Caenorhabditis elegans: one gene and its partner. The protein of the gene in region 2 interacts with the protein of the main gene of each other region in a pairwise test. Each region holds a gene or a part of one and is shown on either strand. Other genes may lie near its edges. The genes, in order: F57B9.8 and lev-9.

Region 1 (4,089 bases), on a different chromosome or scaffold from region 2:
TTCCAAAAATGATTAACTGGGAGCAAATTCTTTTGTTAGTTGTCTGTTAGTATCGGATTTGAATAAAATAAAACATATTCAGCCTCACAAAGCCTGAAACTTGGACGGCTGCTGCTATGTATCAAGCCACAAGATTGTTTGCGTCGAACATGAACCCAAAAATGTGTCAGAGGTATTTAAATGCCGATTTTAGATATATCAGCTCTAAAACCGTTTGATTCAGATTCTACACTCTTGTTCTTCTCCCACGTCTTCGTGACGACATTGATGAATTCAAGAAACTTAACTATCATCTGTATCAAGCCCTCTGCAAAGCTATCTACAAGCCTGCCGCTTTCTTCAAAGGATTGATTCTTCCATTATTAGAAGTGAGTTTAACTTAAATATTTTTCATGTATATTCTTTTTTTCTCAGTCTGGAACATGTACACTTCGTGAAGCTGTTATCTTCAGCTCTGTCCTCACCAAAGTCCCGATTCCAATTTTTCATTCCGCTGCTGCTATGCTTAGGGTAACTTTTGTTTTAAAATATCTCATCAAAAACCTGTTGATATTTCAGATTGCCGAAATGGAATACACTGGAGCTAATTCCGTGTTTCTTCGAGCTCTCATTGATAAGAAGTATGCTTTACCGTATCGTGCAGTCGACGGAGTCGTTAATCACTTCATTCGTCTGAAAACCGATGAACGAGATATGCCAGTTTTGTGGCATCAGTGTCTTTTGGCACTGTGCCAGCGATACAAGAACGATTTGAATGCCGAGCAGAAGGCAGCTATTTATGAGCTGATCAGAGTAAGTTTAATTTTTAAAAACTATTAAAACTTCGAGTTTTATTATCACGAGAACATCTAGTTAGGAGAGTTATTTTCATGGCTTCTTCAGTCTCGAATCCTTACCAGACAATGGACCCGAACTAGGCCCAGAGTTGCCACCTGGACCGTTCGATGCGCTTGACGGTTTCTTCTTGTTACGTCTTCCAGTCTTTTTAGCAGTTTTATCTCTCATCGGATCTGACATTGGTCCAGTAGACATCATTTTTGCACGGAGCTGTCCTGTCGACTTGTTGACCGAGGTTTTATCTTTCTTTCCTGTGATTTCGTACATCATCTGGACAACTTGGCTCATAGTGGGGCGCTGTTGAGGATCGCGAATCCAGCACTTTTTCTGGAAAATTCCACATTGCTATGAAAATAGTGGAATGAAATAGAACTTACAATAACATCGGCAAGCATAGCTGGAGCCTTTTGACTAATCGGCATACGGTAATCATCGCGTCCAACCTTCTGATGTACCTGCACCACCAACATCTCCGGATACGGCTGAGCTCCATTCTCGATCACCTCCCAGCAGAGAATCGAGAAAGCAAACACATCAGTTTGTGGAGTATAAAGGAAGGAAACGATCGTTTCTGGTGAGAGCCATCTGATTGGAACTCTTTTGCTCGGATCCATCTGATACTCCGTTCCAACTCGAGATAAACCGAAGTCAGAGACTTTAGCCTGAACGTTATTAGTTATTAACTTTTAAATTATTTATAACATACAACGCCTTTTCCATAGAGTATGTTTCTGGCCGCAATGTCCCTGTGTATAATGTTTTTGCTGTGAATGTATGCCAGACCAGCTGCCACTTGTGCGATTATATCCAGTTTCTCAGGCCATTGTACCGATGAATTCTTCTGAAGATATTTATCCAGAGCACCACCAGGAACTAACTCCATGACTACTAGCAATGGTTCATCGATTGCAGCCACGCCGTAACATTTTACAACGTTCTTGTGATCGAATCCGCGCATCAGACGTGCTTCTGTGATGATCTCCTTGATTTGTTCTTTAGTCACTTTTTCAAGTTTTGCCTGAAGTTTCGTCATTACTTTTTATATAAAAGTCTAGTCCAACTCACAACTTTTATAGCGACATCTACTGTAGTCGATCCCATTTTCAGCGTCCCAAGCTTTACTTCTCCGAAAGCACCTTCACCAAGAACTTTTGTCATTGTAATATCGGCGTGATTCAGTTCCCATGATTGTCTACCGATAGGATTCACTAGAACACTGCTTGCAACTTCCTGAACAACAATAATTAGTCTATAATGTGCATGAATCGCTCGTACCTCACTAATTTTAGCCTGTTTGTGATGATTTACTAACTCAGTCAATGTTCCAAATTTAATTTTATCAGTGATTGAATATGCTCCGTCGCTTGTACGAATCACATAATGAGCAACTTCTTGACTTGTCTCGTTCTGCATCACCGAAATGATCAAATGACGTGCTTGTCCTTGAGGCTCTGACGTTCTCATCAGATAATCGCCATTTTTTTGAAGTAAAAGCTGAAAAAGTCGGTGCTCCTTTTAAATAAATATTACTCTCAAATTACCTTTACTTCTTCTCGTGGAAGAAGTCCGTGAAAGAATGGTTGCTCATTGATCTCCATTGCGCCAATTATGTGAAAAGAGTGTAGAATTAATTTCTACGATTATCGAAATGATTAAAATTTCACTTCTGATCGATCTTATGCGTGTTTTCTTCTTTTTTTTAATTTTTTTCCTGGCGTATGGGTTCACATCATTGGTCACGTAAATTTTTTTTTCATAATTATAAAGTTTAAGTCAGGTAATTTCCGAAGTTTTATGGTCCCATGAGTTCAATGTTTCCATTGTTTTTAACCAATTTCAATTTATAGTTCCATGGACACTATCTCATCTCGCCTGAAATTCGCCGTGAGCTCGAATCCAAGGAAACCGAAGACGGACATGTTATCACTTCAGTTGTGGTCGAAGGCCGAAAGACGGATAGTATGGAATTCTAAATCACACACAAACAGAAAGAGACGCAGAAGAGAAATATTTCCCGCTTTCACTCTATTCTGCACGTAGGCTTTGCTCTTTTCTTCTATTTCCATTATTGTTCGTTTCCCCGCGCCCCTCCCCAAAAATTGTTCATTTCTTTGTTTTTTATTCATCATTGTTGGTTATGTTACTCTCTTCCTCATTCAAATGAAATTGTTGTTGATTTTCTAAATACAAAGTATTAGTTTCAAAGAGCAAAGGTTTTCGTCCCTAACTTAATGCTTGTTTTTTCAAATTCATGTTATCATGTCTTTGACGAGAGAAAGTTTTCAGATTCGTCAAAAAAAAATGATAACCAGGTCAATAGGTATCGCTAGAAGATCCAATTCGATTAATTGCATTGTTGGATCAAATACAAGCACTTCATATAGTTTAGATGAATCAACAAAAAGATGGATTTCCACTAGGTTCAGAATTCGAAAATTTTAATTTTAATTGTTATAATTTTAGTACAAAACAACCAATGTCACTGATACCAACTGCAAGTAGCCTTGTTGCTTCTTCTCCGCCAAATTTGAAGCCATATCTTCAACTGATGAGAGTCGACAAGCCTATCGGTAATTTATTATTACACAGACGCGAAGTTTTGGGAGTTTTGCGCCGAAAATACGATACCTAGTCTCGACGCGATTAATTTTGTAAAATACAAACAAATGTGCGCCTTTAAGAGTACTGTAGTTTTAATCGATTTTGAAAATTCGATGAAAATTCCGCAGCAACGAAAGTTTGGAAGTTACAGTAATCTTTAAAGGCACGCACCTTTCTGCATTCAACAAAATGTTGTCGTGTCGAGACCACGTACTGTACTTTCGGCGCAAAAATTTTCACGTGCGCAATTGGTTTGATTTGAGTCCTTAACGTTTATTTTTCAGGTACCTGGCTCCTGTATTGGCCATGCACATGGAGCATAGCAATGGCAACTCCAGCTGGTCAATTACCATCTATCTACATGCTTTCTTTGTTCGGAGCTGGTGCTTTTTTGATGAGAAGTGCCGGATGTGTTATCAATGATTTGTGGGATAAGGATTTTGATAAGAAGGTTTTTCAAAATGAGAAGTAAAAAAAAACCGAAAACTGTTTCAGGTTGAACGAACGAAACTAAGACCATTAGCATGTGGCTCGTTGACTGAAAAGCAAGCAATTGGGCTTTTGGCAGGACTTCTCAGTTCTTCGCTTGCTATTCTGCTACAATTGAATTGGTACAGGTAAGGCCGGTGGAAATATTTACGAAGTTGAAGG
Region 2 (5,313 bases):
CTCAAATTCAAGAAATTCAAATGCAAGTGGTCAGTGCAAATGCAACTGGTCAGTGCAACTAAAATTGGTCAGTGCAACTGCAACTGGTCAGTGCAAATGCAGGTGGTCAGTGCAATTGCAAGTGGTCAGTGCAAATCCAAGTAATCAGTGCAACTGCAAGTGGTCAGTGCAAATGCAAGTGATCAGTGCAAATGCAAGTGGTCAGTGCAAATGCAAGTGATCAGCGCAAATGCAAGTAGTCAGTGCAACGGAGCAAAAGGAAAAAATGTTTGATCCAATCATTATGATGTTTCTTGTGGTTTGATACATCATTTACAAATGATCACCCTTTTTGGAGAAAAATGCGTCTAAAGATCAGAGGTGGTAATGTGTCGGCCTGCGACTGAGTTTTGGATCGGCCCACAACACGTTGACACCTCTACGTCAAAGTATGCGGTAGAAAAATTGGACAGATGTGTACCACTTTTCGGCCTGTGAGTAACGCACTTGGTAAACATTTCATTGGTGGTCCGTCTTTAGTCCATTCTCCATAAAGACATTTTATAATTTGATTATTTCTGTTTGGATGATAACCATTGTTGCATTCATATTTGGCGATTGAGCCGTGCGATGATTTCGAGAATAGAATTCGAGCATGTGGAACCCTTGGCGGCCAATTGTGGCAGCTTACTGAAAAGAAAAGCTGTGGTTTTATGCTATTTTAAAATTAAACTTACAAGGACTACAAACTGGAACATGTGACCATGTGGAATTGCTACAAATTAGGCGTTCATCGATGTTTGCTTCGTGTTGCTTATTGCATTCAACAATCACTTTGGAACCTGAAACTTGAATGAATTATTCTAAACTTTAGAAAAACAACTACCGGACGCAATGAGTTGACCTTCGCTTTTGTCTCTTATTTTTCCATTTTGTATATGTGGTACTCTACAAGAAGCTAAACATCTTGGAATCGGAGCACTCCATTGACCATCTTCCATGCATTTTGCCTTTGACGCTCCCTCGTGAGTCATTGTTTCCAAGCACCTGAATTTAAACATTTAAGAAACATAAATTTGTTTAGATTTGGAAAATCGTTACCTGAAAACTGCGACAGCTCCGAATGACGTTTCACTGCCCTCAATGTATCCATTGGGAAGGGTTGGAAGTACTGAACATCGAATTTCTTCACATCGCGGCTCATTTCCTCCCCATATTCCCTCAGCTAAACATATTCGTTGAACTTGACCAACGAGGCGATAACCATGATCACAGGAGTACGTCACAACGGACTGGTATGTCAATGAGCTACCGACAACTTTTCCATGAAGTGGGCTTGACGGACGAGAGCATTCAGTAGCTGGAAAAGTTTATGAGTTGTTAATTTATTATAACATAGGTAATTTGCAGTGTATTTCAGTATGTCCTTATGTATTCTGATTTTTGATCTTTTTTGTGGCCTATATAAAACGTGTGGTACAACTATCGAGGTCCGTGATGGATAACTATCGCCCGAACATCTTACGTTTTCTGGGTATTTTGAGTGGTCCGCGCACACAGATCATGGAACACTATTCACACAATTTCTACTCAAGAGAGTTTTGTAAGATTTAGGGTTACTGTGGATATATTGCGGTTGCCACCAGCGAACGAAACTGACTTGTTGCTCAATAAAACAAACTGGCTACCAACAAAACATTTTTATTGTTTTTTTTTTTCAATTTTTTCAAAGTGTACCTTTACAATTAGCCGGCTCATTTGTCCATTCTCCGTTACTGGAGCATTGACGGGAAGTCGAACCGACAAGAAGAAAACCAGGGTTACATGAATACTTGACGTGATGGGGATATTCAAATGTATCTCCCTCTCGAAGACCATTTTCTATATCTCCGGGATCCGGACATGCTCTTGCTAAAAGTTGCATTGACTTATTGGGCAAGTTTAAGTTTTTCGCATTTTTTCAAATTTTCAAAGTTTTACCTTTACATCTCAAATCAGGTCCAAACCATTGTGCAACATTTTTCCGATTCAACAGACATTTTGATATTGAAAGACCCTGTAAGCATTATTTTTAAAGATAAAATGGAGAATTTTGATTTAAGTCTCACTTTTGCGTTGAATTTGTGATAGCCTGGTATGCAATTATAAGCAACTTCAGCATCAAGGTCATACTCTCCGGAAAATGAAGACCCGTCGTGAACGGCAAATGGAATTTCCGGTGGTGGCCCGCATTTTACTGAAATATTTTGGGATTATACGGCAGTGTCGATAAGAAACGTAAAGCATTGGATGAGGAATCATGCAATTCTGTAGTCACATAATTTAGAAAATTCTTAAACAAAATTCCTAGATATTCTGGATCGATGTTTTGGTATTCAATCAAGTTGATTTGGTTAGATTGAACTTTAGTGGTGAAAACCTTTTTTGTAAGGCTAATTTATTTCTGAATACCCCTAACCGTTTTTTTTTTAAATTTTAAACCACTTGACAGCTGACAGCTCACCGCCACCAATCAACTAAATTTATCAACTGCTCGATAAAAGCTGAAATCTTTTTTCGTTGAGTAAAGTAGATTTGAAATTGTTTGTTTCACAAAATTGGTGATATTTTGATATTATCTTTTAGTGCATTTGATTTTTTGTTTATCTTGCTATAAATTTTGTTATATCTTTATATTGTTTTTTCAAAAAACTTAGGTTTAACTATTTGTGCACTTAAAAAATCTTCTTATTTTATTTTGAACCCGTAAACATAATTTTTTTAAATAAGGAACTTGAAAAAATACATTGTAACCTGCAAACAGGTTGTGAAGAACTCCATTCTTTGTTAGCCTGACATCTTCTCTGACTGGCACCAACTAGTATATATCCCTTGTTGCATCCATATTCTGCATTTGATCCAAATCGCAAATCACCAGCAGTTCGTATAAATCCATTTTCAATATTTGGAAGTGGGTGGCACATTGCAACTGAATAAAAACAAAAAAGTTCATTTTTTATATTGCTCAATAGACAAGATATTTTTATCACTCACTTGGGTTCACACAGCTCAAGCCACATTCTCCGTCGCACATACATCTTTTGTTTCTTTTACAATCTTCGTCTGCTATACACTCTTTTTTGCAATGTTTCGGCCGTTGTGATAGAGTAACTTCCGGACAAGATAGGGCCGACGCGTAGGTAATGGAGATGGCGAGTAGTAGTAGAAATCGCATTTAATTCATGTGATTTGGTACTATGAAAATTTTAAAAGAGAAATCCGCTTGAGTTCTTGCAAGACGGCATTCTTTCACCAGCTGACACGCAATGTATTGATTGATTGGGGTCTTTTCAAGGGTTCCCATTGTAAAGTTGCTCGAGTATCATGCTTGTCTGATCAATTATTTGCTGCGGGACATTGTGGCAAATAGGAACTGACTGCTGAAAAATTAGAGGTGAAGGTATTTTGATGTGATTTTTGCGGTTTTCACAACTTTCACAGGGTTACAGAAAAATCTTTATTTTTTTATTTTATTTTTCTCCAAAATTTGAATTCAAAAAAGGGGAGAATTTTGAGAAATATCAGTGAAGAAATACAAGTTTATCGCAGGGGCGACAAATCATATTTTTTGGCAAACGTCCTATTTGGAAATCGCCTTTTAGGTTTGAATGATTGTGGAAGTTTGAGATTTTGCAAAAAAATTGGTAGACTGAAAAATATAAAAAAACAGGAAACAGGTTACAATTGTAAATGTTTTGCTTATGAAAAATCCCTTAAAAAGTATTTGGCAAATTGAGTTTAGTTTCGGCAGATGGCCGAAAATGAAAATTTCTGTCAAATCGCCGCACTTTTAGAACAATAATTAATGCTTGCTATTTCAGAACTGTTTCCCCATAGTTGAATTTTAAAAAAAGTGCAAAAAACATTCTCGAAATGGAATAAATTGGACAAGTGAAAAAATCATTTTGAAAAATAAAAAAATATCTGGAGGTATGGGGAATCGAACCCCAGACTTCTCGCATGCAAAGCGAGCGCTCTACCCCTGAGCTATACCCCCGTACGGCATTTGAGTAAGAGACGCAAGTGAATATACATACATTTTCTCTCTCACCCATTGACAAACTGGTTGCCTCCCCGCGAGGTGTTCCTGTGAAGCGGGGGGGGGGGGGGTGTTCTGCGAGTTGTTGGTTTGCTGTTGAGATGAAGAAAAATAGCTTCTCGCGGACGAGAAAGTGCAGCTAATTTCATTTTTTTTTTTTTGGAAAATGGTTTTTTATTGCTCTCTATTATTGAGAAAACAAGAGATGATCTTAAACATTATTTTTTGCAAAAACTGTTATCTTGTCTTTTTTCATTTTAAATATGTAATTTGTAATTTCATCACATATCTGTAAAATGAACTCATCAAACAATAGTGCTGACCGTTGTAAAAATGAACCGCAATCTCCGAAATAAAACTTTAATTCTTTTAGGGACACTCAAATCTTCCCCCAACAAAACTATACTTTTTTTGGTTCCATTTGTTTGATTTACCATGTTACGCTTAAATGTACTTCACTTGACCGATCCGACCATAAAACTTTGGTTGCATGTCCAAGGCACATCTGTTGTGTGTGACCTCTCCCCACATTCCGGCGTAGCCTCGTTTACATTTGTCCCCTTTTGTTAGACGCAAGAACTATGCAAATTCGCTCTATTTCACTCGTACAGACAGTTGTTTTTGTTTTGGTTTGAATTGGGTTTTCTGGGTTAATTCTAGGTTTTTTCTAGCTTTTTAGTTTTTTTGCCGTTTGGTAATCGTTAATATTTCATCAATTTCAAAAATTTTCAGAAAATGGATAATGGTCACGGGTATGAAGAATTCGAATTATTAGAAGATGGATCGCTTGGAGAGTGCTCGACACAAGTGGCAAATGCAACATTTCTCACAATTTCAAAGTTGATATGTTTGGTCGTTGCATTCAAATTCATCAAACATATACGTAAGTTTTGATAAAAATATAAACTGAGACAAAAATACCTAACAAAATGTTTTAAAAACTTTGTTTCAAACAAATTTGTTTCTAATTTGTTGTTATGTTCAAATTGGAAAACACATGTGCTTGCTTTATTAATCTTGCCAAAAAAAAAATGACTAAAATTTTCACAAAGTAAGACTGATCTAGCTAGAGATAAGAGCTCCATGGTGAGACGGTAGTCTTAAGTGGAGTAACGCCAGTGCGGAAATTGTTAAAAACGACTTCTATGGTGCAAAAATAGCCAACTATTATATTAGCACTTTACGAAACTTCTTATTTTGTTTCAATAAGTGGTAAAAACTCAGTTTCTGCATCCATCTTTAAAAGTTGTCTATTG

Evidence for each region.
Region 1: the proteins of lev-9 (region 2) and F57B9.8 interact in a two-hybrid assay, tested with the Caenorhabditis elegans proteins (one large-scale study listed by BioGRID).

What each region holds. Positions count from the first base shown.
Region 1 is NC_003281.10:6,932,844-6,936,932, forward strand, and holds F57B9.8 (Tyrosine-protein kinase), read right to left. Parts: upstream 2,477-4,089; 5' UTR 2,436-2,476; coding exon 2,379-2,435; intron 2,332-2,378; coding exon 2,113-2,331; intron 2,068-2,112; coding exon 1,903-2,067; intron 1,856-1,902; coding exon 1,544-1,855; intron 1,500-1,543; coding exon 1,215-1,499; intron 1,165-1,214; coding exon 868-1,164; 3' UTR 818-867; downstream 1-817. Other genes in the region: Cell adhesion protein byn-1, read left to right, coding at 1-34, 83-172, 224-368, 415-510, 559-792, 2,685-2,810; coq-2 (4-hydroxybenzoate polyprenyltransferase, mitochondrial), read left to right, coding at 3,139-3,257, 3,301-3,407, 3,723-3,889, 3,934-4,055.
Region 2 is NC_003284.9:6,288,335-6,293,647, forward strand, and holds the start of lev-9 (Protein lev-9), read right to left. Parts: upstream 3,216-5,313; 5' UTR 3,194-3,215; coding exon 3,013-3,193; intron 2,948-3,012; coding exon 2,765-2,947; intron 2,216-2,764; coding exon 2,088-2,215; intron 2,036-2,087; coding exon 1,960-2,035; intron 1,891-1,959; coding exon 1,717-1,890; intron 1,340-1,716; coding exon 1,081-1,339; intron 1,027-1,080; coding exon 866-1,026; intron 822-865; coding exon 717-821; intron 670-716; coding exon 487-669; intron 1-486. Other genes in the region: mom-1 (Protein-serine O-palmitoleoyltransferase porcupine), read left to right, coding at 4,793-4,940. UniProt on the Caenorhabditis elegans protein: Scaffolding protein that is necessary to cluster acetylcholine receptors at neuromuscular junctions.